Elephas maximus indicus: one gene and its partner. The protein of the gene in region 1 interacts with the protein of each later gene in a pairwise test. Links are inferred from orthologs where the notes say so. Each region holds a gene or a part of one and is shown in the gene's direction. Other genes may lie near its edges.

The links.
Region 2: the proteins of TNNI3 (region 1) and TNNC2 interact in binary tests that used the Homo sapiens proteins (3 or more experiments, as listed by UniProt). The two-hybrid records come from large-scale screens. The link is inferred for Elephas maximus indicus from reciprocal best matches to the Homo sapiens genes TNNI3 and TNNC2.

What each region holds. Positions count from the first base shown.
Region 1 is NC_064829.1:91,881,940-91,898,082, forward strand, and holds TNNI3 (troponin I, cardiac muscle), read left to right. Parts: upstream 1-9,995; 5' UTR 9,996-10,044; coding exon 10,045-10,055; intron 10,056-10,368; coding exon 10,369-10,381; intron 10,382-10,540; coding exon 10,541-10,627; intron 10,628-11,074; coding exon 11,075-11,116; intron 11,117-11,510; coding exon 11,511-11,642; intron 11,643-12,149; coding exon 12,150-12,239; intron 12,240-13,036; coding exon 13,037-13,213; intron 13,214-13,916; coding exon 13,917-14,000; 3' UTR 14,001-14,037; downstream 14,038-16,143. Other genes in the region: DNAAF3 (dynein axonemal assembly factor 3), read left to right, coding at 5,102-5,259, 5,539-5,721, 6,246-6,371, 6,453-6,575, 7,047-7,176, 8,141-8,255, 8,467-8,541, 8,624-9,137. UniProt on the Homo sapiens protein: Troponin I is the inhibitory subunit of troponin, the thin filament regulatory complex which confers calcium-sensitivity to striated muscle actomyosin ATPase activity.
Region 2 is NC_064843.1:23,410,217-23,426,156, forward strand, and holds TNNC2 (troponin C, skeletal muscle), read left to right. Parts: upstream 1-9,996; 5' UTR 9,997-10,048; coding exon 10,049-10,051; intron 10,052-11,522; coding exon 11,523-11,574; intron 11,575-11,746; coding exon 11,747-11,890; intron 11,891-11,982; coding exon 11,983-12,097; intron 12,098-12,238; coding exon 12,239-12,375; intron 12,376-12,628; coding exon 12,629-12,660; 3' UTR 12,661-12,793; downstream 12,794-15,940. Other genes in the region: SNX21 (sorting nexin-21), read right to left, coding at 1-570, 4,237-4,394, 4,894-5,146. UniProt on the Homo sapiens protein: Troponin is the central regulatory protein of striated muscle contraction. Tn consists of three components: Tn-I which is the inhibitor of actomyosin ATPase, Tn-T which contains the binding site for tropomyosin and Tn-C.

The sequences.
Region 1 (16,143 bases):
ATGGAAGCAGATTGCCAGGTCTTTTCTCCCATGGAGCAGCTGGTGAGTTCAAACTGCTGGTCTTTTGGTTAGCAGCTGAGCACTTAACTATTGTGCCATTAGGGCCCTTTATGTACATAGCATATATATATATACACATATATATCATATATCCCCACGTGTCTGTCAGTTTGTCGTACTGTGGGGGCTTGTGTGTTGCTGTGATACTGGAAGCTATGCCACCGATATTCAGATACCAGCAGGGTCACCCATGGACGACAGGTTTCAGCTGAGCTTCCAGACTAAGACAGACTAGGAAGAAGGACCCGGCAGTCTACTTCTGAAAAGCATTAGCCAGTGAAAACCTTATGAATACCAGCGGAACATTGTCTGATATAGTGCTGGAAGATGAGCCCCCAGGTTGGAAGGCACTCAAAAGATGACTGGGGAAGAGCTACCTCCTCAAAGTAGAGTCGACCTTAATGACATGGATGGAGAAAAGCTTTCGGGACCTTCATTTGCTGAGGTGGCACGACTCAAAATGAGAAGAAACAGCTGCAAACATCCATTAATAATTCGAGCCTGGAATGTACGAAGTATGATCTAGGAAAATTGGTAATCGTCAAAAATGAAATGGAACGCATAAACATCAATATCCTAGGCATTAGTGAGCTGAAATGGACTGGCATTGGCCATTTTGAATTGGACAATCATATAGTCTACTATGCTGGGAATGACAACTGGAAGAGGAATGGTGTTGCATTCATCGTCAAAAAGAACGTTTCAAGATCTATCCTGAAGTACAACGCTGTCAGTGATAGGATAATATCCATACACCTACAAGGAAGACCAGTTAATACGACTATTATTCAAATTTACGCACCAACCACTAGGGGCAAAGATGAAGAAATAGAAGATTTTTACCAGCTGCTGCAGTCTGAAATTGATCGAACATGAAATCAAGATGCATTGGTAATTACTGGCGATTAGAATGTGAAAGTTAGAAACAAAGAAGAAGGATCAGTAGTTGGAAAATATGGCCTTGGTGATAGAAACGATGCCGGAGTTCGAATGATAGAATTTTGCAAGACCAATGACTTCTTCACTGCGAATACCTTCTTTCACCAACAGAAACGGGAACTATACACATGGACCTTGCAAGATGGAACACACAGAAATCAAATTGACTACATCTGTGGAAAGAGATGATGGAAAAGCTCAATATCATCAGTCAGAACAAGGCCAGGGGCCGACTGTGGAACAGACCATCAATTGCTCATATGCAAGTTCAAGCCGAAACTGAAGAAAATCAGAGCAAGTCCACGAGAGCCAAAATATGACCTTGAGTATATCTCACCTGAATTTGGAGACCATCTCAAGAATAGATTTGATGCATTGAACAGTAGTGACCGAAGACCAGACGAGTTGTGGAATGACATCAAGGACATCATCTGTGAAGAAAGCAAGAGGTCACTGAAAAGACAGGAAAGAAAGAAAAGACTAAGATGGATGTCAGAGGAGACTCTGAAGCTTGCTCTTGAGCATCGAGCAGCTAAAACAAAAGGAAGAATTCATGAAGTAAATGAACTGAAGATTTCAAACCGCCTCTCGAGAAGACAAAATAAAGTATTACAATGACATGTGCAAAGAGCTGGAGATGGAAAACCAAAAGGGAAGAACACACTCAGCGTTTCTCAAGCTGAAAGAACTGAAGAAAAAATTCAAGCCTTGAGTTGCAATGGTGAAGGATTCCATGGGGAAAATATTAAATGACGCAGGAAGCATCAAAAGAAGATGGAAGGAATACACAGAGTCATCATACCAAAAAGAATTAGTCGATATTCAACCATTTCAAGAGGTGGCATATGATCAGGAACCGATGGTACTGAAGGAAGAAGTCCAAGCTGCTCTGAAGGCATTGGCGAAAAACAGGGCTCCAGGAATTGATGGAATATCAATTGAGATGTTTCAACAAACAGATGTAGCGCTGGAGGTGCTCACTCGTCTATGCCAAGAAATATGGAAGACAGCTTCCTGGCCAACTGACTGGAAGAGATCCATATTTATGCCTATTCCCAAGAAAGGTGATGCAACCAAATGTGGAAATTATAGAACAATATCATTAATATCACACACAAGCAAAATTCTGCTGAAGATCATTCAAAAACAGCTGCAGCAGTATATCGACAAGGAAGTGCCAGAAATCAGGCCGGTTTCGGAAGAGGACGTGAAACCAGGGAGATCACTGCTGATGTCAGATGGATCCTGGCTGAAAGCAGAGAATACCAGAAGGATGTTTACCTGTGTTTTATTGATTATGCAAAGGCATTTGACTGTGTGGATCATAACAAACTATGGATAACACAGTGAAGAATGGGAATTCCAGAACACTTAATTGTGCTCATGAGGAACCTTTACATCGATCAAGAGGCAGTTGTTCGGACAGAACAAGGGGATACTGATTGGCTTAAAGTCAGGAAAGGTGTGCGTCAGGGTTGTATTCTTTCACCATAGCTATTTAATCTGTATGCTGAACAAATAATATGAGAAGCTGGACTATATAAAGAAGAATGTGGCATCAAGTTTGGAGGAAGACTCATTAACAACCTGAGTTACACAGATGATACAACCTTGCCTGCTGAAAGTGAAGAGGACTTGAAGCACTTACTAATGAAGATCAAAGACCATAGCCTTCAGTATGGATTGCACCTCAACATAAAATAAAAATCCTCACAACTGGACCAATGAGCAACATCATGATAAACGGAGAAAAGATTGAAGTTGTGGAGGATTTCATTTGACTTGGATCCACAATCAACAGCCATGGAAGCAGCAGTCAAGAAATCAAAAGACGCATTGCATTGGGCAAATCTGCTGCAAAGGACCTCTTTAAAGTGTTGAAGAGCAAAGATGTCACCCTGAAGACTAAGGTGTGCCTGACCCAAGCCATGGTATTTTCAATCACATCATATGCATGTGAAGGCTGGACAATGAATAAGGAAGACCGAAGAAGAGTTCATGCCTTTGAATTGTGGTGTTGGCAAAGAATATTGAATATACCATGGACTGCCAAAAGAACGAACAAATCTTAGAAGTACAACCAGAATGCTCCTTAGAAGCAAGGATGGCGAGACTGCGTCTTACATACTTTGGACATGTTGTCAGGAGGGATCGGTCCCTGGAGAAGGACATCATGCTTGGCAGAGTACAGGGTCAGCGGAAAAGAGGAAGACCCTCAATGAGGTGGATTGACACAGTGGCTGCAACAATGGGCTCAAGCATAACGATTGTAAGGATGGCGCAGGACCGGGCAGTGTTTCGTTCTGTTGTGCATAGGGTCGCTATGAGTCGGAACCGACTTGATGGCACCTAACAACACAACAACATATCATGTACATTTGAAACTACATTGTTTTTTCCTATAAGGTTCTTATACAGCTAAAAAAACTATAGATAGATATAGATATACAGCTAGATAAATGTAGAGATGTAGAAATGATATATATGTATATATATCTAATCATATACAAACAGTGGGCTCAAGCATAACAACTGTGAAGATGGCACAGGACCAGGCAGTGTTTTGTTCTGTTGTACATAGGGTCGCTATGAGTTGGAACCCACTCAACAACACGTAACAACAACAGTACAACTGAAGATAAATAATTATCTCCTATATGCCTATAAGATTTGTAAAAGAACTATATATACAAATCACTGCAGTTAAGTTGACAGAGACTCTGTAGGGTAGAGTAGAACTGCTCCATAGGGTTTCCAAGGCCATAATCTTTTTTTTTTTTTTTGTGCTTTAAGTGCAAGTTTACAAGTCAGTCTCTCATACAAAAATTTATATACACCTTGCTATATACTCCTAATTGCTCTCCCTCTAATCAGACAGCACACTCCTACTCTCTACTCTCTATTTTTGTGTCCATTCAGGCAGCTTCTGACTCCCTCTGCCTTCTCATCTCCCCTCCAGACAGGAGCTGCCCACATAGTCTCATGTGTCTACTTAATCCAAGAAGCTCACACCTCACCAGTATCATTTTCTATGCCATAGTCTGGTCCAATCCCTGTCTGAAGAGTTGGCTTTGGGAATGGTTCCTGTCTTGGGCTAACAGAAAGTCTGGGGACCATGACCACTGGGGTCCTTTTAGTCTCAGTCAGACCATTAAGTCTGGTCTTTTTATGAGAATTTGAGGTCTGCATCCCACTGCTCCCCTCCACCTCAGGGGTTCTCTGTTGTGTTCCCTGTCAGGGCAGTCATTGGTTGTAGCCAGGCACCATCTAGTTCTTCTGGTCTCAGGTTTATGTGGCCCTTTCTGTCTCTTTGGCTCGTAAATACCTTGTGTCTTTGGTGTTCTTCATTTTCCTTTGCTCCAGGTGGGTTGAGACCAACTGATGCATCTTAGATGGCTGCTTGCTAGCGTTTAAGACCCCAGACACAACTCTCCAAAGTGGGATGGAGAATGTTTTCTTAATAGATTTTATTATGCCAGTTGATGTAGATGTCCCCTGAAACCGTGGTCCCCAACCCCCGCCCCTGCTTTGCTGGCCCAAGGCCATAATCTTTAGGGAAACAGACTGCCACATCTTTCTTCCATGGAGCAGCTGGTGGGTTCTGACCACTGACTTTTGGTTAGCAGTTGAGTGCTTAACCAGTGTGCCACCAGGGCTCCATATCTATACATAAAAAACCCGCAGCCATCGAGTCTATTCCGATTCATAGTGACCCTATAGGACAGAGTAGAACTGCCCCATATGGTTTCCAAGGAGCGCCTGGTGGATTTGAACTGCCAACTTTTTGATTCACAGCGGTAGCTCTTAACCACTATGCCACTAGCGTTTCCATATATATATTTAAGCAAATTCAGGATTGTGGTTACCTGGGGTTTGAGGAGGAACAGGAAAGGAGACCTAGGTTAGGTTAAGTTATTCTACATGTTGCAGTTATTGGAATGGGCAGGGAGCTTGTTATATACATTCTATGACTACTAATTATAATGATGTGCGTATCAATGAATATCCACTAGAGAGAGAATGCTTCATCAGCCCGGGTCTGTTTTGGGCTCACTCCACCAGCTCCCTCTGCTCATTTTCTCCGCCCTCCCCCCCCCCCCAGAGAGGAGCGAGATCTTCCTGGAGGTGTGGGGGAACGCCCTGCTGCGTCCCCCAGTAGCTGCCTTTGTGCGCTCCCAGGCGGAGCGCCTGGCGCACCTGGTCCCCGAGCCCGACCGCCTGGCAGAGCAGCTGCCCTGGCTCAGCCTGGGCGCCCTCAAGGTCGGTGCCATCCCCCAGGCTCCCGGGGGTGCTGGAAGAACGGGAATGGGCAGTCCTGAGGGATATGTGTTGATGGAGTGGGTGGAGGCCATGAATTTGAGTCCCATTGGACTCCCTCTGTAGCATCTGGGGCCAGAGGCTGGTTTCTGCCCTCTGAGCCTCAGGTCCTTCATCTGAGACATGGGAGAGTACTTTCCACCCCTCGGAATGGATGGGAGGGTGAAGCAAGAGAAGCTGCTGTCTCATCACTCCTGTCTCCCTCTCTTTGTCCCCACAAAGTTCCGCGAGCGGGACGCCCTGGAGGCGGTGTTCCGCTTCTGGGCCGGCGGGGAGAAAGGGCCTGAGGCCTTCCCCATAAGCCGCCTCTGGGACTTGCGGGTGCGCCACTACCTGGGCTCCCGCTACGACGCCCGGCGCGGTGTCAGCGATTGGGACCTGCACATGAAGCTGCACGACCGCGGGGTGAGAGGCCCGGCGAGGAGGGGCTGGGGGCCGGGATTCCCGGGTCCGAGGGAGGAGGTGGCTGAGGGACTAGGCTCCGGGGTCTGAGGGAAGAGTGACTGGAGGACTGGACCCCCAGAGCTGAGGGAGGAGGGGGTTAGGGGCTGGGACTGTCGGGGCTGAGGGAGGAAGGGCTGGAGGACTGAATTCCGGGGTCTGAGGGAGGAGGCTGGGGGCTAGGACTCTCGGGGCTGAGGGAAGAGGAAACTGGGGGACTGGACTCCTGGGCCTAAGGGAGGAGGGACTGGACCGAGGGACTGGGCTGGGTATGAGGGGAGAGTGGCTGAAGGACTGGACTCCCGGGTCTGAGGGAGGATGGGGCTAGGGGCTGAGCCTCCTGGGTCTGAGGGTGCAGGGACTGGGAGTCGGGACTCCTGGGTCAGAGGGAGGAGGGGCTGGGAACTGAACTCCTGGATCTGATGTGGGAGGGGCTGGGGGCCCAGATGCCAAGTTTACTGAGGCCTCCCTCCCTCCTTCCCCCACAGGGTCAGGTCATCCACACCCGCGAGTTCCGGCGCTGGAGGGACACAGGCGTCGCCTTTGAACTCAGAGATTCCAGCTCCTACCACCTGCCCAACCGTACCCTAGCGTCCGGACGCCTCCTGAGCCACGTGCGTGTGCACCCTCTGCCCTGGCCCGCTCCTCCTTCTCCAACCGCGGTCTCACTTGCCCCTCTTTCCCTGCTTTCCCAGCGTGGGGAGCGCGTGGCGGCGCGCGGGTACTGGGGGGACATCGCCACGGGCCCCTTCGTGGCCTTCGGGATCGAAGCAGACGACCAGAGTCTCCTGCGGACCAGCAACGGGCGGCCGGTCAAGGTGTGCGGTGGGCGAGCTGGGGCTTTGGCAGACACTTGAAGCCCCTCCCTCTTTCTTCCAGGCCCCGCGGCCAAACCGCTGGGCGCCGCCCCGGCGTTTCACGTTCTGTCCCTCCCGTTGGTGACGAGCCTCCATCCTTGTTATACAGGCACCGCCCAAACTCCTAGGCTGCACCTTTGGCTACTAAACCCCGCTCCCAGTGCCCGGGTATCCACTTCTGCCTGCCTGGCCACACCCCTAACATCCAGGGCTCCGCCTCCGGGTACTAGGCCCCGCCCCCGGTTCTATGTCCTTGCGCTCTAGTGCTCCTTTTTGATTTTAGGTCGGGTCCCTGGGATCCAAGCTCACCCAGAGTTCTTAGACTTCGGTTCCAGCGCTCGCTCCTCCTTACTCTAAGCCCCGCCTCGTTCACTCAAACCCCGCCCCCGCGTTCCCAGCCCCAGTGTCTACCGTGTCCCTTCCCTTCCCCAGAGCGCGGGCGAAATCACCCAACACAATGTGACAGAGCTCTTCCAGGAGGTGGCCGCCTGGCGGCGCCCAAGAGACGCCCAGCGGGACCCGGAGCAGGCGCAGCAGGGGGAGGATGGAAACCTGGAGTCTGGTAAGCGAGGGACTCAGTCTTCCCTGTTGAAATGGGAGGCAAAAGGTCGGGATGGTGAAGACCAGCGGACACAGAGAGTGGAACCGGCACCCTGATCCCAGGCAGTACCTGTTGCCGTCTAGTTGATTCAGATTCATAGCGACCCTATAGAACAGAGTAGAACTGCCCCGTAGGGTTTCCAAAGAGCGGTTTTTGGATTTGAACTGTCCACCTTTTGGTTAACGGCCTGAGTTCTTAACACTGTGCCACCAGGGCTACTCTAGTACAGCAGCAGTTCTCAAATTTTGTTATACATAAGAATCACCTGGAAATCTTAGTAAAGTGTATATTCTGATTCAGTATGTCTGGGGTGGAAATGCAAATCCTCAGCAGGGGTTCAAACCGGAAGGAACCAATTCGAAGCCCTGGTTCAAATCTCTCTCTTCTACTGCTGTTTTTCTTCCTTTCCTAAATCCTCACACTTTTCCTAGAATTCTGAATTCCACGGATAGAATCCTGACTTACCTGTGTGTGGAAGTTTAAGTTGGTTGAGAACATTCTCACAGCGTGCTAGGTCCCAGTCCTTTTCGGAGACCCAATTTCACAACACACACACACCCTCTCATGAATTCTGACCATGCTTCCCTCTAACCATCTGCTGGCCGGGCTCTCCCTGGGTGTCTGTCCCACTCTAGGGAAGATGCGCCATGTGACCTGAGCCATCCATTCTCTGTTCTTCCCTTGAGTCTGTTGTCTGGTCTTTAAAGTGGATCTCTGCCTGCCAGGCTGATCTCCCCAGAATTTTCCAGGAATCTCCCTAAGAGAAAGGATGAGAAAGGGCTTCATGACAGACACTTAAACACAGTGTTATTTCCAACCTTCATTCCTCTGCCCAGACTCTGCCAGTATCTATGTCTCTCTGTGTTTCAGACTCCCACACCTGTGACCCCACCCAGCAGGATGACCCCTCTCTGTTCTTCCACAGCAGCCTTCGCCCAGAGGTCCTTCACTGTCCACTTCCTTTCTCTCAATTCTGCCCAGACCCTCCAGCACAAGAGCTGCTACAAGGGACGGTTCCAGCTTCTCTATGTGGCCTGTGGGTAAGAGGGTCTGGGAGGCACCCAGGCTTCCCTCTCACAGACCCTCCTCCTCATGGATTCAGGGCTGGGTCCCCAGACCCTTCCTCCCTCAGAACCAGGAGTCCAGCCCCTGCCCCTCCTCACTCAGACCCAGGATTCTGGGCCGTCAGCTTCCTCCTTCCTCAGGACCTGGGAGTCTGACCCTCTGCCTCCTTCCCCTTTCTCTCCACAGAATGGTCCACCTTCTCAGCCCTGAGCTCGGGGCCTGCGTGGCCCCCGGAGGGCGCCTGACTGTGGAATTAGCTCGGTGAGCCAGAGGAGAGCAGGGCTGGGAAAGTCAGGGTCCGGGTCTGAAAGCGGGTCCCTAACTCGCCTCTTTCCGGCTTCAGGTATCTGGTAGACCTGCGGCAGGAGCAGCTGCAGGCGTTCTCTGTCCGGGTAGGGGAGCTGGCTCAGGAGGCTGGATTCGCCGCGCTGTCAGGGGCTAGGTCCTCAGAGACCTTTGCGCGCTTCTGCAAGTCCGGGGACTCTTCTCCGGGCAACATTGACCGAGCCGTGGGATCCCAGACTCCATCCACAGGAGTCCTGGTCTGGCCTTCGGAGGTCCTTTCCCCGCCTCTAGAATCCATGGCTCCGCCCCCTGAAACTATGACTCCACCTCCTGAAGCCATGGTCACGCCCCCTGAAGCCATGGTTCCGCCCCCTGAGGATCTCACCCAGCACATTGGAGGCCTGGCCCCACACTCTGAGTACCTCAAGCAGCCCTCAGAGTCTCAGGGTTCCCCCTTGGAGGTTCTGGCTCCACCCCAGGAGGCTTTGGCTATGCCCCCAGTAGGTCAGACCCCAAAGCAGAAGAGTCTGACCCGACTCCTAGAGGCCAAGTCCCCCACCTCTAAATCCTAAAGTCAGGCCTTGGAATTGTAACACAGAGGATATAATTCTAGACCCACCACTAGAATTCTCAGTTTTACTCTCAAGATTCTCACTCAGCCCTGGAGGTGTTGCCAGAATTTCAAATTCCATTCACGGCCTTCTATAGTCTATCCCTAGTATTCTAGAATGCTCTCTCAGAATCCTAAATTCCACTCCTGAGACTCTAAACCCACTGGGTATCAGGCCGTCTGCATCGGCCCCTTGTCTCAGAAGTCTGCATTCCTAACTGGTGGGTGGGAGTGCCTTCTTTCCCAGGCCTGGTCATCACCCAAGTGGTCCCAGTAAAAGGAGTGGCATTCTCTTCTATGTGTGTCCGTGTCATTCCTGTTCTCCGTCTGTCTCTGGTGTCTGATAGAGGGGAGGGGCCTGGAGACTGGATTTCTGCGTTTTCAAATGGACCGAGGGTGGATTCTGAGATGCTGTGGTTTGGGAGCTTGGACCCCCTACAACTGAATCGTCACTTCAAGCAACAAACTGACTATAAAAGATGAAAAACACAAAGTTCCAGTTCTCATGGAGATTACATTTTAGTGAAGGGTATTGAGGGCCCTGGGGCCTGCACTCCTGGTTCTGGGGGATGAGGGGAACCGGATGACTAGGCCACCAAGGTGGCAGGGGTGAGCCAGCTGAAGCACAGCCAACCCCACCCCTCACGCGCCCCATTATCTCGCATTCTGGAAAGGGGGCGGAGGCATCGGCAGTATATTTAGTCTCTGTCCTCTCCCTTTATCTCTGTGTCCTCAGTGAGGCTTGAACAACAGGGAGGAAACCGAGCATCCCGGGACCTCCAAGGTCACGCCGGACGCCCCCTAACTCACACACTGAGAGCCCCTTGCCCCGTTTTCTGCCTTCTGCAATTCCAGACTCAAGCCTCAGCATGGAGAACCAGTGAGTGAGGGGTGCAAACCGGTAACCTGGATTCCTGAGGTCCCAAGGGAGTGGGAGATGGGGGTGATCTCCCGGGTTCTTGAGCGGGGTAAGAGCTGCGAGTTTGGGTACTGTCCTGAGAAGGGAAGTAGGGAACAGGACTCCTGGGTCTCGAAATAAGGTAAGAATTTGGGGTCAGACTTCTGGAAACTGAGGAAGTGGGATCTGGTGGCCTGGACTTCTAGGTCCCCCAGGACACGGATTGGACAGGACACGGATTGGACAGGACACAGGGTCAGCATTAACCCCTTTTTTTCCGTTTCTCTCCCTCCAGGAGCAGCGATGCGGTAAGGGGGGGGGCCGCTAAGGCGTGGGCTGGGTCCCTGTTGGCTGGGTGGGCACTGCAGGGAGGCGGCTGGGGCAGGAGGCTGCAGTCCTAAGAGAGGCCGTGGGGAGGGGCCGAGTGGAGTCCCAGTGGTGACGCGGCTCTGCTCTCTCAACCCCAGCGGGGCGACCCGCGCCCCGCACCTCCCCCGATCCGGCGCCGCTCCTCAGCCAACTACCGTGCCTATGCCATCGAGCCGCACGCCAAGGTGAGAAGCGGGGCCGGTGTGGTGGGAGGGGCCTAGGGGCTGGGCTTCGCAGGCGTCTGGGCTCAGATTGGTGAGGACTTGCCGCTGCAACTGGTGAAGCGGAAGAAGGGGTGGAACCAGGACTTCGATGGGGCGGGGCTTGGGCGGAGTCCAAACTGCACGATGGGGCGAGGTTTTACAGAAGGCTGACTCGGATTGGCGAGATTTACCTTATAGGCATAGCTCCGTTGCCCATGAGAACTCCGATTCGCCAGGGAATGGAGGGGCGGGGCTTAGCTGGAATCAGAACCTCAGATTGGTGAATGGGACTGAGGGGCGTAGCTTCCAGTAGAACGAGGGTGGAAATTGGGGGTGGGCATGAACCTCGCTTGAGGGGGTGGGTTCTGGAGAGCCTTCCTCCTTGTGATTGCCCTCCTTGACCTTTCTTTGCTACATCTCACCCTTCAGAAAAAGTCTAAGATCTCGGCCTCGAGAAAACTACAGCTGAAGGTGAGGATAGGCGGGGAGAAGAAACATAGGGATCTTCAAAGGGGCGGGGTTAAAAGTTAAAGTGTTGCTTGGGATGGGGCTTCGAATACATAGAAGGGGTGGGGCTTTGGAGCCAGCGTGGGAGGGCGTGATTTTACATCAGGGGCGTGGCTAAGGGAGGAGCGGTGCTTTGAGGTGACGGACATCAACCTTGAAGGGCGGGGCTTTGGAGCCAGACTGGGTGGGCGTGGTTTTATGGCAGAGCCTTACTAAGGGAGGGGCGGAGCTTTGAGATGAAAAACACCAACCTTGAGTGAGCGGTCTCTGGGAGACAGAGGACAGACCGGCCTGGGGTTGGAGGGTGGGGCATGGCAGAAGTGATTCCCCTGGGTGGGATCCCCTTCCACTCCTGCAGACCCTGATGCTGCAGATTGCGAAGCAGGAGCTGGAACGGGAAGCAGAGGAGCGGCGCGGAGAGAAGGGGCGTGCCCTGAGCACCCGGTGCCAGCCTCTGGAGCTGGCCGGCCTGGGCTTCGCGGAGCTGCAGGTACCGGCTCCCAGGGCACGACTCCTGCCCCGCCTGCGAGCCAAGGTTCCTAGTCTCCAGTCTTGCATCCTGTGGGAAGGAGAGTACCGTAATTATTCCTCCATCTGCTCAAGACCCAGGAGTCCAATCTCCCAGTCCTTACCTCTCAGGAGTTCAGAAGCAGGGCCTGCCCTAATTCCTCCAGATTCTCATGAGTCCTGGCTCCTAGCTCCTGTGTTGGCAGTTCCCTGGAGGTCAGGTTCCCAACCTCCTCCTACAGGACCAGAAGTTCAGGTTTCCAGCCCCCTCCTCCTTCAGGACCAGGAGTCCAGGACCCCCAGATTCTTCCTCAGTCAGATCCAGGAGTCCAAAACTCCAGTCCCTCCTTCCTCAGACTCAGGAGCCTGGGCCCGCATCCCCTTCCTCCCTCAGGCCCAAAGTCTGGGCTCCCAGCCACCTCCTTCCTCAGACCCAGCAGTCTGGATCTCCAGCCTTCCCCCCACCACAGATTCCACGTTTCTCCACCAGGACTTGTGCCGACAGCTTCACGCCCGTGTGGACAAGGTGGATGAAGAGAGATACGATGTAGAGGCAAAAGTTAACAAGAACATCACAGAGGTGGGCGACAGTGGGCAGCTTGGGGTACCTCCAGGGTCCAGTGAAGGAGCCCTGGTGGCGAAATGGTTAAGTGCTTGACTGCTAACCGAAAGATTGGTAGTTTGAACCCACCCAGGGGTTCCAAGTGAGAAAGACCTAGCAATCTGCACCCGTAAAGATTACAGCTTAAAAAACTCAGTGAGGGCAGTTCTCTGTCGCGTAGCGTTGCCATGAGTCAGAAATCAACTCGATGGCACCTAAGAACAGTAACAACAGGGTCCAGTGAGATGCCTGGGGCTGTGGTCCCAGCCTGACCCCTGCAGTTGGGGTTCCCAGGAGGTCCAGGGCAACTCTGTGAGGCTGGCAGGGAGGAAAAAAAAAACAAACCCGTTGCCGTCGAGTCAATTCCGACTCTGGTGGGGAGAGGACAGATAAATTAGTATGATGTGGTCAAGAAAGGCTGTTCCAGGCAAAAGAAACAGCAAATACAAAAGCCAGGAGGTATCAAAGCAGAACATATGTTTGTCTCATAAAAAACGCTGAGGGACAGGCCCGGGAACTGAGAGATGCATGTACCTGGACTGGGATATATCTTCTGGTTTTGAGAGATGAAGCTGGGGAAGATCAGGGAGGGCCTTGAGTTCCAGGATGAGGAGTTTGGACTTTGTCCTGAAAGTGGTGGGCGCCTGAGCTGGGGAAAGCCTGGATGAGACCTGGGTACTGGAAGGCAGGATAGGGATAGGAGGGAATTGTAGGGTGGAAGGGCTGGTTGAAGGGGAAGCAGAGGGAAGGGTCTCTACCTCTCCTCTGGCCTCCAGATTGCAGATCTGACTCAGAAGATCTACGACCTTCGGGGCAAGTTTAAGCGGCCCACCCTACGGAGGGTGCGCATCTCTGCAGATGTCATGATGCAGGCGCTGCTGGGAACCCGAGCTAAGGAGACCTTTGACCTGCGGGCCCACCTCAAGCAGGTGAAGAAGGAGGACACTGAGAAGGTGAGTGTGGGCTAGGGCCAGGAAAGGGGGTGCTGAGGTGGCGGGCTGTGGGGGGGTGGTGGTAATAATCCCAGGACATAGCCTGAAGACAGGTAGTCCATGGAGTTGAGAGGAAAGGCAGCTGGTAGGTAGTCTTCACTGGGAAGTATAGGCAGAACACAGCACATGCAAGAGGAAGACAGGAAGTAGAGGGGGAAGACAGGAAGTGTAAAAGGGAGAGAGGAAGTAGCAAGGAGTCAGGAAGTGGATGATGGCTACAGGAAGTGAATGAGAGAGAAAGTACATGCGTAGATCAGGGGGTGAACGAGGGAGACAAGAAGGGAAAGACAGGAAGTATAATAGCGAAAGAGCAAGTAAGCAGGAAGGTAGGAAGTATATAAGGAAAACAGGAAGTGCATGAGGGAGACAGAAAATGGATGGGGAAGACAGAAAATGCATTAGGAAGGAAGGAAGCATGCAAGGAGGTTGGGGGGGTATGTGGGAGACAGGGAGTACATGTGGAAGGCAGGAAATGCATGTGGGAAACAGGAAATGCATGTGGCAACTTGGCAGGGATTGTCTGTGGGGACAAGAAGTGTTCCCGAACCAGATCCTTGGACAGTCATCCATAGTAGAGTAGCGCATCAAGGTGTAGGGCAGGTGGGGGATACTTGAAGGACTAGAGACCAGGAAGAAACCTAACGTCTGGCCTTATCCCTCCCAGGAAAACCGAGAGGTGGGAGACTGGCGAAAGAATATTGATGCTCTGAGTGGAATGGAGGGCCGCAAGAAAAAGTTTGAGGGCTGAGCCTGCCTGCCCATTGCCCTGGCCCTGAGGATGGCCCTGAGGAATAAAGAAACTTCTCTCTGAACTGGGACTGACTGTGTATTTATCACCTGGGGGCTTTGGGATGAGAGAAACAGGAAAACTGAGGGCAGGGCTCCTTCAAAGCCACACAGCGTGTCGGGGCAGAGCTGGGTCTCCAACTCGGGGTGTTCTTGACTTCTCTGCTACATGGGAGGGGGTGAACAGAAACGCTGAGACCAATGCCCAAAGACAGATGGGCAGAGAGACATCCATGTCAGAGGGACTGAGTCAGAGACACAGAGAAAGAGAGTGTGCCAGAGATACAGAGGAAGAAGGGCAAAGAAAGGAGAAATGCAGAGATATAGATACAGACACACCAGACACCCTGTAAGACAGAAGTAGAGGCCCAACAAGGCACAGCTGCAGAGACACAGACACCTAGAAAGACCTAGAAAGATAGAGGCATAATACAGGCATAGAGCCAAAGAGAGACAGAAGCAGAGTTACCTACAGAGATGCACCAAGAGACTCAGACACTGAGAGGGGCTGATTCTCAGAGACAACAGAAGTGCAGAGACAAAAATACAGGGAGAGACCTGCAGAATGAGAAACATGCAGAGGGACCCAGGAAGAGGCAGAGACATGGAGAGAGACAGAGACAATCCCAAACAGATTCCCAGAAAGAGACCCAGAGAACAGCAGAGAAACAAAACCAGAGACAGGAGACAGGCAGAGATACTGAGAGGCTTGGAGGGGTAAAGAATTCAAGGTCATGGCTTGGAGGGGGAGGGGAGTGGGGGGATACCAAAAAAGATCTGTGTCATATGGAAGTGGGGGATGAGGTTGCACTTGGGCTAATTGACACCCCATCTCTCTCCCCTCTCACCCCCCTACGCACACACACACCTGCTTCCCAGCTTTAGTGCCTGCTGTCACCAGAGTGGAATCCTGGCGGTGACAAATGGGCGGGGATGGGGATGGGGAGACAGAGAGATGGACAAAGGCGGTGGCGGGGGGAGACTGAGAAGTAGAGACACACACACACACATACACGCATGGGCAGTCACAGAGACAACAAAGAGACAAAACTGAAACAGAGTTGGAGAGCTGGAGGGCCAGAGAGACCCAGGAAAAGGCACCAGCCAGGTGGAAACAAAGTGTCGTTTGTACACCATTGGTCAAAAATCGATAGGTGTTTTCAAGACCTATTGTGCGCTGAAAGTCTCTGAGTGGGACATAAAGTTTGTGCTCAATTAACAGTTTGTGGTCAATTACTAACCTAAGGGTTTGTTGTTCGAACTCACTCAGCAGCACCACTGAAGAAAGGCCTGGCTTCCATAAAAATTACAGCTAAGAAAACCATGTCTTATCTAGTGCTACTATAACAGAAATACCACAAGTGGGTGTCTTCAATAAACAGAAGTTTATTTTCTCATAGTTCAGGAGGCTAGAAGTCCAGATTCAGGGCACTGGCTCTAGGAGAAGGCTTTCTGTCTGTTGACTGGGGAGGAAGGTCTTTGTTTCTTGGTTCCTTGGTGATCTTCATGTGGTATGGTATCTATTTCCTCCCATCTCTGCTTCCTTCTCCTTGCCTAATCAGCTTGGTTTATAGTACCTCAAAGGTGATTGGTTTAAAATACACCCTCCACTGATATGGCTTCATTGACATATAAATAATTCCCAAATGGGATTACATCTACAAGTACTTAAAAAAAAGTTCCTGTGGAGTCAATTCTGACTCATAGCAACCTTATAGGACAGAGTAGAACTGCCCTGTAGGGTTTCCAAGGAGCTGCTGCTGGATTCGAACTGCTGACCTTTTGGTTAGTAGCCGAGCTCTTAACCACTGTGCCACCAGGTCTCCTCCATAAGTATACAGATTAGGAATTACAACACACATTTTGGCGGACACAATTCAATCCATAACATGCCCTATGGAGTGAAGTTCTAGTCTGTAACACACGGGGTCGCCATGAGTCGAAACTGAGTCAGTGACAACGGGGCTTACAGTGTCCTGGACCCAGGGACTTCAAAGCCCAGGTGATGCGCCCTATAATGGAGGCAACACAGAGCACTGAGAGTCCAGAGGGGTGGGATTCTAAGGAGGTGCTCATGGGGGTGGGGCAGGGGCCTTGGAGCAGCC
Region 2 (15,940 bases), on another chromosome or scaffold:
GTCCAGGCCCAGGTGCCAGGAGAGGCGGACATGGGCCTCTAGGAAGGGCGCCAGGAAAGGGTGGGGGCTCTTGTCCCCTAGCAGCTGCAGGGCCCTCTCACAGCAGGCCCGGGCCTCTGCAGGGTCCTCCAACTCCTGGTGGCACACAGCAAGCCCAGCCAGGGTTAGCAGGGGGCGGTCTGGGCCTGAGGGGGTGCCCAGCTGGGTCTGCAGCTGCCAGGCACTGGCCCAGAGCACCAGAGCCTCACGATAGAGGCCAGTGCAGGTGAGGCTCTGCGCCCGCCGCAGCTCAGGCAGCACGAAGAAGTCCTGCAGGTCCGGGGCATGGCGCAGCTCGGGCACCGCCAGTAGGTGGCCCAGAAACTGCTCAAAAGCCCTGCTGCGGCGGGCGATGGTCTCTGCTGTAAAGTTCCGGCGCAGGCGCTTCCGGGGGAAGGAGATGGCAGCCATGGGGCCCCGAAACTGCCGCTGCAGGCTTCTATGCAGCCGCTCAAAGTCCGAGTAGCGGCGGGAAATCTGGGCTGGCTGGCGGTCTGGAGGCCCTGGGCCCATCACGGTGAGGGTGTAGAGCTGCAGGGGGAATGAGTGTCAGGGCAGGTGCAAGGCTTCCACGGGTTCCCTTCCTCACCACCCTCCCACCTCTCCCCTTCAGCCTTAGGACTGGGCCCAGGAAGGTGGGAGCAGCTGGGCAGTGGCTAGGAAACCCCAGCCATCTTACCTGAGGCTCGTCTGAAATGACCCAGGCCCACGTCAGCACGGAGAGAGAAAGACAGAGATGAGCTTCAGGGACTGGGGCTACTTGGCCCTTTTTGCTCCTTCTAGGGAACACCCCTTCCCCATAGCCCTGCTGGCTGTTCCAACAGCTGCTCAGAAACCCAGGTTCCAGGCCTCCGAGCCAACCTTTAGGACCATCCTGGATTTTGTTCCTCTCCAGACACAGCCTCTACCCAGGCCAGGTTATTCCAAACCAGGCCCAGAGGACAAGTCTTCAGACAGCCGGAACGCTGTGCCAAGGACACTGAAGGTGTTCCAAACCCCAGGTCGGCTTCCACCTCACCATGTGACTGCAGGCAAAACAGTCCCCTTCTAGGACCAGAAGCGTTGGACCAGGTCGGTGTTGACTTAACGTGTACAAGTGAAGTAATTCGTTTTTATGTACCAGGGTAAATAATGATGAATCACAGATAGGAGGTGGTTCCCCTTTAGTCCTCTCTTAATCTCTGTGACTATAAATTGAGAAGCTCTCAGCTTGGCACTTTTTTTTTTTTTTAAGCACTCCCCCAACATTTCTCATCTCCAGTTTTAGAAAAGAGCCCGAAAGCTAATCGCAGGTCAGGGCCCCCTTCCGGCAACAGCAGCATCTAGGCTGACGCAGCTTCATTTTCTCTGCCTTTATTTTGATGTCTACCTTCTATTTATGGCAAGTGAGGTTTTCCACACATACAGTGCTGTTGTAAAATGGTCTTTTAAAATAAACTTATTTAAGGAAAATGAAAAAAAGCAGGTTCATTTAAAGAAAATATGAAGCCAATAGTGGTACAAGTGATATTCAGACAGGACAAGAACTGGGAAGGCGGTACTGGAATGACAGAGGCTTTGGGAAACACTGAGCATGATGACCGCTGAGCTTCCCCCCAGTTCTGAGAACCTGAGTGTGGATTAATGACAGTAATGCTGAGCCAACAGGTTTAAAAAAGGGATTAGCAAGTGCTAGGTTTTAAAGGTATACTGACACCAAACCAAGAAATACCAGTTGTCATCGAGTCAGTTCTGACTCATGGCAACCCCACGTGTGTCAGAGTAGAACTGAGCTCCGTAGGGTCTTCTATGGCTGTGATCTTTTGGAAGTAGATTGCCAGGCCTTCCTCTGAGGTGCTTCTGGGTACATTCAAACCACCAACCTTCTGGTTAGTAGGCCAGCGCTTGACCGTTTATGCCACCCAGGGACTCCATACTACCAGGAGACCACCTTTTTCTCTCCAGTGTTCTGCAGATTTGCTGGTGTTATAGCCACTCCTGGTCACTTAGGTTTGCCTACTCTGTTCTCTTGATGATTCTCAGTGTTGTTAGGTGCCGTGGAGTTCGTCCCGACTCACAACGACCCTGTGTACAACAGAAGGAAACACTGCCCAGTCCTGCGCCATCCTCACAATTGTTGCTATGTTTGAGCCCACTGTTGCAGCCACTGTGCCAATCCATCTCGTTGAGGGTCTTCCTCTTTTTCACCGGCCCTCTACTTCACCAAGTATGTTAATACAGAGGATGCGAAAGTCTCACGATAAAGAAACCTATCTTATTCTCATTCAGATCTGCATTCCCGAAACATACTGACTGCAAAACCCTTTCCTGAACAGTTATTAATATCCCAGGAACCATTATTTTGCAGAATACACTTCAGCAAACACTGGCCTATGATAACCCCTTATGTTCATGAAGCTTTTATTTTTATTTTTAATTTTTTTGCAAAAAAATTTTTTACATCCATTATCTCATCTGATCCTTGTAACCTCCCACCAAGACAGGAAATCATGATAGTAGCTCCATGGACTGAACACTCACCCTGTGCTATGTGCTGAACATTTACAGTATTATTTAATCATCACAAGAGCACTGCAAGGAAGGTGTTATTATCTGGTAGGCAGCTGAGGAAGCGGACTGGGGGCGGGGGCAAAGGGCTCAAAGCCTTTCTCTGAGGCACACAGCTGATAAGTGGCCCAGCTGGGATTCAAACCCAGGTAGGTCAGATTCCAAAGCCTGTGCTTTTCCCCCAGAAGTTAGATGGGGACCAGGGGTCCCCAGTGGGCAGAGGAGGTGAACTGCTTCCCCAGACATGGGCCCCCATTCCTCCCTGCCTCTGGGCTGCTCCTAGGTGACTGATTCTTAGTGTCTCCTTCCTGTGCATTACCCCTCATCCATCCTAGAACTCTAAGACCTTTGCCACTTAAGACCTGAGCATCACAGAATCAACCCCTGCTCAAATTGGAGGAGTGTCCCCATGGGTGTGGACCTGTGTACTAACAGCAGCAGAGAGGGGTGGAGAGGCCCAGATGTGGGACAGGGCTCCAGGCCCCCTTCCTGCTGAGTCAGAGGCAGAGGCGGGTGGTGAAGAGGGACGTGAGAGGCAGAGCACCGCCACCACCGCCAGGACTGGCCAGGCCGGGCTGGGTTTCAGGCCTGGCAGGGAGCACAACCTGGTAGACCTCATTCTTCATGCCAGTCCCTCCTCTCCACAGCAAGGAAAATGGGGACTCCAAGGCCTCTCCTCCATGTTACTGTTCACCCCAAGCCCCTACTGGCCTCCTAAGTCTAGCCCTTAGGACAAGATTATACTGTACAGGGTGGGTGCTTGAGAATTGGTTATCCTGGGTTGGAAGGAGGCCACAGGAGGCCCTAGATGCCAGCCATTTTCAACCCAAAGTAAATAATGATATAAAAAAAAACAGCCCATTGCCATTGAGTTGATTCTGACTCGTAGCGACCCTATAGGACAGAGTAGAACTGCCCCATAGGGTTTCCAAGGCTGTAATCTTTATGGAAGCAGACTGCCACATCTTTCTCCCGCGGAGCAGCTGGTGGGTTTGAACAGCGCCAACCTTTCAGTTAGTTGCAGAGTGTTTAACCACTGTACCACCAGGGGTCCTTACACATACATGTCAGAATGCCAGGCAGGCACCATGCTGAAAGCTTTCTGTGCACTGTCTCCTTTAATTCCTGCTACAATCCTCTGATGTAGATATCACTGTCATTATTCCCACTGCCCAGATAAGAACACTGAGGGTCAACAAGGTCACATGACTCTCCCAATACCAAACACCTGAGATCAATCTGGGATCCAGTAAGGGGGATTTGACTCAGCTTGTTCTGGCTCCAAAGCCCACTTCCTTAACCACTAGCCCATGCAATTCAGGTTGCAAGTCTAACCCAGATCATGTCCTTCCCCCTGTTATCTTGCTACAGTTTGCAAAACCCTTTCACACATATAAGTTCTCTGTCCCAAAACTAGACTAGGAGGCAAGTTCATTATCTCCACTTCAGTCAGACTCGGAAAAGCTAAGTCATTTGAGGATCTGCTCAAGTTTCAGCCCCTTCCTGGCCTGGCTTCCCCGTCTGTAAAATGGGGCAGCCATTTCTAACTGTATTCACCCTTCTGCTTCCAAGAAGTTAGAGCCTTCCCTGCTCTCTCTTAGCCATACCATTCTTTTGGGCTCACAGCCCAGGACCTGGACCCTCACTCACCACGTACTTGGAGGGTGGATCCTTGACAACGTTGGCACTAGTCACCTCGAAAAGCAGCCGCTGGGGTACTAGGGTGTTACGGGACTTCTTCCAGAAATCCTGTAGCTGCCGGGCCAGGAGCTGACTGCCCCGAGGACCGTCCGGCGGGGGGCCTGGTTCTGCGGAAGCACACAGGTACTGGTCACATCACCAGGCCTAGGGCCAGGACGCATGTAACCACATGCCAGGAATTCATTTATCCTCTTAAGCTGTAAGACAAGCTTTATCCCCATTTTACAGAAAAGGAAATTGAGGGCCAGTGAGGAGCCGGGTGCCAAGCACAATGTCTGGAACATGGTAGGCGCTGAATAAATATTCTCATCCCGAAGCATCGTCAGCACAGTATTGCCATGTGTATCCCATGCCATACATATGTTTAAAGCCCACACCAGCCCAGAGATGGGGGTGATTTCCCCTATTTGAAGCAGGGGAAAACTTGGCTCAGAGAGGTGTTGTGACTCTCTCAAGGTCACACAGCCAAGAGGTGGCTGGGGCACTTAAAGAAGTGTCGGAATTTCGGCTGGATCAACTCTGAGTGCCCCCAGATGCTCTCGGGAACGCGGCTGGGATGGAGGCCTAACTGAGCTCCAGGGTCTGGTCTCGTCCCCCGACACTCACCTGCGTCTTCTCCCGAAGCCCCATCCCCGGGGGCCAGCGGGTCAGGGCCAGCCTCCTCGTCGTCCTCGTCCTCGTCGTCCTCGGCGCTGGTGAAGCTGAGGGTGCCGCTGAGGCGGGAGGACAGGCCCTCGGCGTCGTCATCCTCTAGCTCCGAGCTCTCCGGGAACTGCTCCGCCTCGGGCCCGGCCGCCGCCTCCCGGGGGCCGTCGCTGGCCAGGGCGTGCCGCAGCCGGTGCAGGAGCCGGGAGGCCATGGCACTCTGGGGGGAGCGCGGCGCTGGGTCCCCACCCGGGAGCAGGACCCAGCCCGCGGGGAGGAGGGGGCGGGCCCGCCCACAGGGGGAGGAGCCGCGGAGGCCCCGCCCTGCCCCGGGGGGCCCAGCGAGTCCTGGGACTCCCGCCCCACCGCCTCCCGGACCTACGCGTCCAGGGCTGCGGTCTTCCCAGAGGGTCCGGTTCCTCCCACGTCCCTGTGCCCCCTTCGCGCGCCTCTACCTCCAGCGCCCAGCGGTGCACTCCGGAGCGCGCCTCCCCTGGGGTCCCCGAGCAGCCCCCAGCGGCTCGCCGAAGCCTCCAGGAGCCGCTGGGCTCCGCCGGACTCAGCCGGGCCCAGTCCGCTCTGAGCGCCGCTCGGGCCTCTTCCTGCCGCCGCCCCGCCTCTGGCCCCGCCCGCTCCCTGGAGCCTCCGGAGAATCCCGGGCCCTTAGCTCCAGGAGAGGCTTGGGGTCATCCCCGGGAGAACTCCAAGCCACCTGCTGATCATCCCCAATCCGTAGGGCGCACACCCTCTTTGTGTCCTTCTACCACTCACAAAGACCCAGGCCGACTCCAGTATTGCCTCCCTCCCCCTCGGTTTCCACCTGATGCTCCACTTTCTCAGGTCCTTATGCGACATTAAATCAAACCGGTTGCTGTCGAGTCGCTTCTGACTTGCAGCGACCCTGTAGGATAGAGTAGAACTGCCCCATAGGGTTCCCAAGAAGCGGCTGTGGATTCGAACTGCTGACATTTTGGCTTGCAGCTGAGCTCTTAACCACTGCTCCACCCATGTGACATTAGGAAGGGCTCCTGTGTGACATTAGGAAGCCCCTTTCTCCAGTGGGGAAACTGAGACCAAGAAAAGACACGTGGCTTGGTGTGGCATCTGACCTAGATTTCCTAGGTTTTCTCTTAACAGAAAACAGGAACAATAGTATCAGTTTTGCAGAGATTGATTGCAGCTCAAGGAAGGTCCCACCCTAGTCCAGCGCCTGCTGCAGGGTGGCCGAGGTATTGATCAGTTACATAACGATCATGGCTTCCACAGGGTTCACAGGCTTTCACAATCCTCTTTGAGCTTCACACTTAGAAAGTAAGCAAACTGGGAAACTGAGACCCAGCCGGCAGAGTTACTTGCCCAAAGCCACAAGCTTACAGAGGTTTCTGGGGATGGGGGCTTGGAGCTCAGGTCTTCTGGGTTCTACAGCCAGTTCTTTCCCATGCTGCAGGCCAGTAATCTCAGCACCTCCTCTGGGGCTGGGTTTTATCTTTTATCCAGAGGGGACCAGTAGGTCAAGAAGATTTTAAGCATGCTTTTTTCTGTTAGAAGGCCTAGCTACCAGTCCCTTGCAGGGCAGATGTTGCTAGTTATGCAATCAAACACAGCCTGACTGTAGTGCCTATCCTTTACATACATATGGAACCCCCGGCAGCTTAGTGGCTAAATTCTATACTTCCTAACCAAAAGGTCAGCAGTTCAAATCCACCAGGTGCTCCTTGGAAACTCTATGGGGCAGTTCTACTCTGTCCTTTACGGTTGCTATGAGTTGGAATTGACTTGCTGGCAACGGGTTTTGTTTTGTTTTATATATATAATTTATTTTGCACCTACCCTTTTTGAGTGGCACAGGGGAGAAGGGTGGAGAGATGAACAGATGATCAGAAGGGGCGGAGCCAGGCACGCATTACCCTATAAACAAGGTACACTGGGGTTTGTGAAGTTGTGCACTACAGATTACTAACACAAGTAAACCCATACATACCGTGCTGGTTAACCCACCCCTGAGTGGAGCTCTCATTTCTCAAGCTTCCACTCTGCCCCGAGTCCTGTTCTAGGCACTTTACATGTTGCCACGCCTCAGCTTCATAGCACCCTGGAGAGGAGGCTATTACTGGACAGTAATGGTCCATTTTCAAGATGAAGAAACCAAGACAAATCAACTTTTCCAAGGTCCACAGCTAGGGAACGGGGGAGCTGGGATTTAAGATGGCAGTGGGTGGGTGGGTGTAACAGCAAAGCTCTAATTCCTCTTCATTCTGCTTACAGGCAGGGTGTTGAGGCAAGAAAGACATCTCATTCATTCATTCAGCATTCATCCATTCACCAAACATTGGCTGAATATTAACTTGACCTTTGGCATATGCGTCGTAAATCTGAGTATAAATTAAAAAACACAAACTTGTTGCCGTCTAGCCAATTCCTACCGAGAGCAACTTTATGTGCTTCAGAGTAGAAGTGTGCTTCACAGGGTTTTCTGGGCTATAATCTTCTGGAAACAGAGTGCTAGGCCTTTCTTCTGAGGCATCACCACTGGGTAGGTTCAAGCTGCCATAGTAGCTGAGTGCAAACCGTTTGTGGCACCCAGGGACCTGGGTACAAAGCAGGGGTTCGTAAAACCTTGGCTGTCAGAGCAGGAGGGTCCCTCAGAAATCTGCTTCCATTTTACAGGCGGGAAGTCTGAGGCTCAGTGAGGGAAAGACCTTCATACTGCCCTGGTTCATACAAATAGGGCCAGAAGCATGGAAGCAGGAGGTCTCCTGATGTCCTGTCTTGTGTTCTCCACTAGTCTTAGACTGTTCAGATATCTCCCTACAGCCTCCGTGAGAGATGGTCATCTAGCTCCTGCTTACGTACATCCAGTGACAGGGAGCTCAGTACCTCCTGAGGCTCTCCATTCCCATTATTGTTAATCTGTGACTATAGGGAAGTTCCTCCTTATATTGAACCAGATTCATTCAGTTCAGTTAATCTTATGTAGAACACCATATTTATTGAACACCCAAGTAAGGTGCCAAGTAAGGAGCCCTGGTGGTGAAGTGGTTAAGCACTTGGCTGCGAATTGAAAGGTCGGTGGTTCAAACCCGCCAGCCACTCTGCAGGAGAAAGATGTGGCAGTCGACTTCAGTAAAGATTACAGACTTGGAAACCCTATGGAGCAATTCTACTCTGTCCTATAGGGTCGCTATGAGCCAGAATCAACTCCACGGCACAGTTAAGTGCCACACGCTGGGTCCTGGGGGATGAGATGGGATACAGGAAACCTTCTGTGGTCTATGGAATGCCGAACAGGCTCAGGGCTTATGACTGAGGAAACTACTGGAGGCCACCCTGGACTCCCCTGGCCTGGCCTTAGAGGAGGAGGGATCCTGGCAGGAAACAAAAACAAAAACAAAAAAAACTCCAAACAAACAAAGAGCATGTGCATAGGCCTGGAGGCTATAAGGGGTGGAGGACTTAAGTATTTAAGACCGACCAGAGTACAGCAACAGGCAAGGTGCAGAGAGCCGGGGGAGTGAGATTGGACTGGTGGGTGGGACCTTACCTATTTCCCTGAATAAACAAAAGAACAAATCAATGAACAAATGATCTCTGAGGGTTCCAGGACCTCTTTTCCAAAGGGACTGGTGTCCAAATTGAAATTCCCTAGGTGTCGCCCCTGGCCCTCTGCCTGGCTGGGGGAGGCCTGATTTAGTCTGGCCTGGCTCCCTACAGCTTTCCTTGGAATGTCTATATATAGGGGGAAGGGGGCAGCCCAGTTGCCACTGTCCATCTGCCTTTCCTGCTGTCCAGCCCCCCTTCCCTGGCTCTAGGAACTGCACTGAGTGGCCTCAGTGCTCATACTGTTGACTTAGCCACTGTCCAGGAGCCTTGCATATTTGGCAACGCCCAGCCTAGACCCTCACGGGTGGACTCCCTTCAGACTTGACTTGCCCACCCCTTCACCCTCCAGATGGCCAGGTGAGCTCCTCCAAACTTCTTCATGGAGCTCTAGGAAGGGGCCAGCTGCCGCTTCACGTACTTAGAGAACTTTCCCCTGACTGCCCGCTCCTCCCCCGCAAAAAAAAAAAAAAAAAAAGAATCCCAATCCCATACATCCTTTTCCTAGAGAAGGTAAGTTTCAGAGAAGAGTCTTTGCTTCCAATGCTTATTTTCTTTCCTCTCTAAATCTGCACTCTCTCCCGGAACCCTCCACACACTTGTTCTGGACACCTGCTGCCGCCCAAAGACTGCCTCAGTTTCTCTCCAGTCAGGATCAATAGTAAGGATCACCAACATAAATACAGACCTTCAGGATTTATAAAGCACTTCAGTAAAAGGGGGGATAATAATAGTTGCTACCTCACAGGATGAATACTTGGTCAGATCATGTGGTTCAAATGCCTAGCGCAGTGTGTGACACACCATAGAGGTTCAATAAATGGCAGCTGTACCTACCACTTCCCCCTCATCCTGTCCCCTACCCCTTACTATGGTTTAAGGACAGGAAATTCCACTTGCCAAGCTCCAACCCCATGTACCTGGCCCAAGTTAGGTGACTTATACCTGGGTTCCCATTTATCACGGTCTCTCTGTGAGGGAGGTTTTAATTATCCCCATTTTGCAGCTGAGGAGACTGAGGCTTACAGAGGCATGACCACTTGCCCGAGGTCACACAGCTTGTAGAGGCATTACTTGGATCTTGTGTTTCACACCACAAGGCTGTGCTCTTCCCACTCTACCATGTTGCCTCACTTTTCTGTTCTGATGATCCTTTCCCATCTTGGAGCAAGTATGCTTCCTGAGCGGAGGGGGGGCGCTCTCCGAGATGGCGGAGCAGGGTGGGTACTCCTCATAAGAATCTAGGACTAGGACATCAAGTCCTGCCACCTGCTCAGAGGCTTAAATTTCTCTGCAAGGGCCCTTGGCTAAATTAGGTAATGGGCTAGGGCTCTGGGAGGGGTGGGGCTTGCTGACCCCAGGATCTGATTGGCCAGGGTATCCAGTCCTGGGGAGCAGGGGGGGTGGGAGGAGGGGGTGCCCCTACAAATCCCGGGGGCTGGAGTGGGCCAGGACATCTTTGGGTGGTGCATTTCAGAGGAGGTGACCTGTGGCAGAGGTGTCCGAGTGACCTGCAACCATGGTAAGGATAAGGAGGGACTCTTTTCCCTCACTCGCTGGGGTGCCTCTGGGCTTCTCTGAGGACGGATCTGGGTGCTCTGGGGGGCAGTAACTTGGATGTTTGCAGAAGAGTGTGAAGTTTCCTTGGAACCCAAGTTTCTTGAAGAAAGCCTGGGAAGAAGTCCCTCAACTTCTCTTGGAAGGGGAAGGGCCGGGATATTCCAGGGATTGATCCTCAAGGCTTGCTGATTCTTCTAGACCTTCTGGGACTTCCAGCAATGTCAGTCATAGAGCTGTGAGGGGTTCTTAGCTTGGCTCTCTCATGGTACAGATGGGGACCCTGAGAGCCAGAGTGAGTTGACAAAGGTCAGCCAGTGAGCCAGTGGCAAGAGTGGGCTAGAAGCCTGGCCAAACCTACTACTGTCAGTGACAGGAAAAGGCTCCCTTGGAAGTAAGGAGGCCTGCAACACCTGGGAACAGCTCAGGGGCAGGGCCCCAAGAGCCCTGAGGCTGATGGGAAAGGATAGACGATAACAGACTAGAATTAGAGACACAGATTCTCAGAGACTGGTCCTGGTTTGGGGTTGTCATTTTCCTCTGAGACTCCCCTCCCCACTTCAAGGAGTAACCAGACCCCAAGGACCAGCTGCTGTTGCCCACACCTGACTAAAAATAGCCTGCCCTCCTGGCATAGGGAAAGGGAGGGGGAGGGGAGAAAGGAGCAGGGCCAGAGGCCGAAGAACTCCTTGGACATCTCAGCCCTTCCTTGCTGCCAGCCTCCTTGCAACAGCCCCTCCTCCATGCAACCTACCCAGATGGTCTGGCTTGGATGTGACTGGAAACCCTCGCAGCAGTCTTATTTTCACCCCCTGAAGGGCTGCATCCCATTCTGCCCAGCATGAGAGTCTTTAATGATTGACTCATAAGAAGGAATCTCAACATTTGGAGCTGCATCTCTTCAAGTTCTCAGAATAACGGGTCCCACTCTTCTTGGTGGTTCCAATACTTGCTTGTGGCCTGACACATAGTAGGTGCTCAAGAACTTTGTGTTGCATTATTATTTACAAACATTTACTGAGTACCTACTAAAGCATTTGGCACCATTAGGAGCTAGGAAAAACTGGAAAATCATGCTGGAAAGGTGCTGGTGCTTTACAAAACTCTAACGCAAACATGATTTCGTCTCTATGATGAATTTCAATCACAGTTCTGAGTGATTTGCTCATCGTCACAGGGGCACGGTGTTCCTAATTTGGCCTCAGATTGACCAGTAAGGAGGCCTTAGACATAATCTACATCTTCTTCTTAGTTCTTCTAAATGTGGCTGGGTGCTGGGAGGCCATGAAGGAGGTGTGACAAATTTGGACCTGGTCTTCTGGAGGAAGTGGGGGTGGGGGTGCTTACAGAAATGGGGGTTGGGGAGAATGGAGCTATGGCAAGGATCTGTGCTATGGCTGCCCTTTCTGCTCTCTGACTCTCTGTGTCTTCTGCAGACGGACCAGCAGGCTGAGGCTCGGTCCTACCTCAGCGAGGAGATGATTGCTGGTGAGTGAGGTTGGCCGGCTGGGTGTTTGCAGCTGCGTGTGTGTGGGGGGGGGGCGGGGGGGGTGTCTGGTGTAGAGCAGGGTGGAAGGGCAAGTGTATCTATGATGGGGGCTCTGGAGGTGACAGCAAACCCAGGTTCCACTCAGCCCTGGGCCCTCATCCCCCCTGGCAGAGTTCAAGGCTGCCTTTGATATGTTCGACGCTGATGGTGGCGGTGACATCAGTGTCAAGGAGTTGGGCACCGTGATGAGGATGCTTGGCCAGACACCCACCAAAGAGGAGTTGGATGCCATCATCGAGGAGGTGGATGAGGATGGTGAGTGGGTGGCCCTTCGTGGCAGGTGTGGTGATGGCGAGGAGAAGCAGGCACCTGGGGCTCAGGCCCACTTGGCCACCCTCTCCCCTCAGGCAGCGGCACCATCGACTTCGAGGAGTTCTTGGTCATGATGGTGCGCCAGATGAAAGAGGATGCAAAGGGCAAGACCGAGGAGGAGCTGGCCGAATGTTTCCGCATTTTCGACAGGTGCACTGGGGGCCTGGGAGCTTGGTCGGCAGGCAGGGAGCCAAGGTTCTCTGGGGTGAGGATGTGGGAGAACTGTCCCGCATGGCCAGGGCAGCTAGCTGGTCCAGTCCCTGAGCCTGGTCTTGCCCCTCTGCCCTGAAGGAACGCAGATGGCTACATCGACCCGGAGGAGCTGGCTGAGATTTTCAGAGCTTCCGGGGAGCACGTGACAGACGAGGAGATTGAGTCCCTAATGAAAGACGGAGACAAGAACAACGATGGCCGCATCGACTTCGATGGTGAGGGCCGCGGGGGCGGAGAAGGGGGCCACGCGGGAGCGTCCAGGGAGCACGTGGGTGCGGTTGGCACCCACCTGGGTGTCCTTGGCCTTGAGGGCAGGGCTGGGCCTAGCTTGACCGGGACCGGGTCCCCCACCCCTGCGAGCCGGTATTGCGCTGGGGCACCTTGGTGCTATTTATCAATTGATGACATGGCGCCCCTCGCCGTGGCCGTAGCCAGCATCCTTGGCGCTTGTTGTCTCCTTCCCCGCAGAGTTCCTGAAGATGATGGAGGGCGTGCAGTAAGGAGTCGGGCCTGCGCCTAGAACGCACCTCCCCCGGGCGCGGGCGGCTCCGCCCTGTCCCCGCCCGGTTCCACCTCCGCCCGGGAGAAAGGCGCGGATCCTTCTGGCTCTGTGTCTGGAACGAATAAAATCAAGCCTTGGAAAGCGCGTGGCTTCAGTGACCGGAGGGCCGGGATATCGGGTCTCAGGGCCGTCTGGATGGCGCTCCAGGGGGGTGGGCGGTGGGCTGGGAGCTGAGGGACGCGGAAGGGCGTCGGGGTGCGGGAGCGGAGGCGGCGGTCGCCCTGTGCTGGGCTGCGCTAGTTGAGGTCGGCGGGTTAGTGGCCGGCTACCCGCAGCTGGAGCTGGGCTTGTGTAGCTCCGCGGACGTGCATCGGCTGCGGCTGGTGCTGGAGGAGGGAGGCCGCAGGGGTTTCGAGCTGAGTCGGGTGAGCCTGCGGAGGGAGCTCGGGTTGGGGTGGGAGGGTATAGGCTGAGGGCGCAGCAGGAGGTTGGGACCCGGGCGGCAGAGCCCTGCAGTCCCCTCACCTCTCCACCTGCCTTTCTGGAGCCTTTGGGTATTGGGTACCGTACTCGCCACACCTTACGCAGGCCACCGGTCTGGGGAGCTGGGAGTGTGTTGTGTGCTCACCCACCCCAGCATGGTTTCTGCCTGTCTGTTCTTCCGCGGGCTAACGGGATGCGAGGTACCGTCGATGGTAGGTAGGCGTGAGGATGGCAACACAGCCATGAAGGGGTGGTGACCTGTCATCTCGACCCTGGATCCCTGCCTGCCTCGTCAAGTCTCCCTGCCCTATGCCCCCTCCGATGCGCTCAACAGAGGGCCACCATCATGATCAGGCTAGAGAGAACTCTTATCCGGCCACTTCCTGTTGGAAGCCCTCCGAGGCTCCTCATTGCTTCTAGGATCTAAATCCAAATTCCTCCCTCTGCTCCCCTCCCCCCATGCCCCCTTGCGGATTTCCAGCCACACTGGGAAACCAACCATTCTTGATAGGAACAGGCATGCACTTTCAAGGCTTTGGGCCTTTGCACGTGTTCTTGCGTGAAACGCCTTTCCTCCTGACAAATTCTTCAACTCACAAGATCCCATTCTCATACCATCTTCTCCTTCCTTGATCCCTCTGGCTGCCGACTCTGGCTCCTGGAGCTCTTTGTCCAAAACACAATTATAGCAGGCATCGGGCTGTAAGTGTAGTGATAGTTTAGCTTTAGAGTAGGCTGGCTGAGTTTGAATCTCGTATTAAACTACTCTGTGCCTCATTTTCCTCATCTGTGAAATGGAGATAATGACAGTAGGACTTACCTCACAGGGTTGTGTGCAAAGTGCGTGGTACAGTGCCTAGCACCTAGTAACCACCTTAATAAATACTAACCATATGCTGTGGGGTCAATTCTGACTCATGGTGACCCCCATGTGTTTCAGGGTAGAACTGTGCTCCATAAGGTTTTCAATGGCTGTGACCTTTTGCAAGCAGATCACCAGCCAGGCCTTTCTTCTAAGGTACCCCTGGATGGGTTTGGACCAACGACCTTTGGTTTATAGTCAAGCACTTAACTATGTGTGCCACCCAGGGAGTGCTTTTAATACATGCTGTTAATTATTATCATTATCACCATCATCATTCTTTTTGTTCTAAATTTTATTTATTTTGTTGTTGGGAATATACACAGCAAAACATAACACCAACAGTTTCAACATGTGCAATTTAGTGACACTGATTACATTTTTCGAGTTGTGTGACCATTCTCACACTCCTTTTCTGAATTGTTCCTCCTTCATTAAGATAAACTTACTGCCTCCTAAGGTTCCTATCTTTTGAGTTGCTGTTGTCACCTTCATCATTCTTTTTTCATTTTTATTTACTTTATTGTGCTTTAAGTGAAAGTTTACAAATCAAGTCAGTTTCTCACACAAAAACTCATATATACCTTGCTACATACTCCCAGTTGCTCTCCCCCTAATGAAACAGCCCACTCCCACCCTCCACTCTCTCTTTTCGTGTCCATTTCGCCAGCTTCTAACCCCCTCTACCCTCTCATCTCCCCTCCAGACAGGAGATGCCAACATAGTCTCAAGTGTCCACCTGATCCAAGAAGCTCACTCCTCACCAGCATCCCTCTCCATCCCATTGTCCACTCCAGTCCCTGTCTGAAGAGTTGGCTTTGGGAATGGTTCCTGTCCTGGGCCAACAGAAGGTCTGGGGGCCATGACCACCGGGGTCCTTCTAGTCTCAGACCTTCGTTATTCTTGAAACACTGAACTCTCCTTACTCATTGCTGCAGCCCTTTCATGTTCTCTTCTCCCCTTTCTATCGGATTCGTAAGTCTCCAGTTTGTATTTCCAGCCAGGATCAGTGCTGGAGTTTAATAATGACCGCATTTATCGAATGCCTACTATGTGCTATGCATTGAATGCGTTGTCTCATTTCACCCACACAACAACCTTAGAGGCAAGGCCCTTTGTGGTTGGACACCTGTGCTACTCCGCCAGCCTGTCTTCCTCCTTTTCTCCCCATGTTCTTATCTACCTCCGGGGCTCAATCGCCTCTGGAAAGGCTTCCCTGACCCTCTTATTCTGCCTTAGGTGCCTGACCTCTGTGCTTTCATAGCAACTTGTGAGTCCCATACACATTTATTGATGACTTACTATGTGCCAGGCGCTGTCCTAAGATCATTATGACTATCCTATGAGGCAGGTACTCGTATTTTCATTTTAACAGAAATTGTTGCCACAGAGTCAATTCTGACTCCTAAAAAATTCCTAGCAACCCTGGAAGACGGTAGAACTGCTCCATAGGGTTTCCAAGGCTGTAATCTTTATGGAAGCAGACTGCCACATCTTTCTTCGGAAGAGCGGCCGGTGGGTTTGAACCAGGGCTTCAAACAGGTTCCTTCTGGTTCAAACCCTTGCTGAGAAGTTGCATTTCTAACAAGTTCCCAGGCAATGCTAATGCTGCTGGTTAGGGACCAATTCTGAGAACTGTTAATAAAGCAGTGGTTCTCAAAATTTATTACACATAAGAATCACCTGGGGATGTTTTGAAATGTTGATTCTGATTCAGTATATCTAGGGTGGAAATGCAAAATTTCAACAGGGGTTCAGACCAGAATGAACCCGGCTCTAACTGTCGACCTCTTGGTTAGCGGCTGAGCACTTAACCACAGCACCAAAAACAAAAGGGCTTTTTTACAGAGAGGTTAAGTATAAATGTGTTTATAAGCTGCATGTGGTGGACCCAGGATTCTAATAGTTGTTTAAGCTGCGTGGTCTGAGCTCT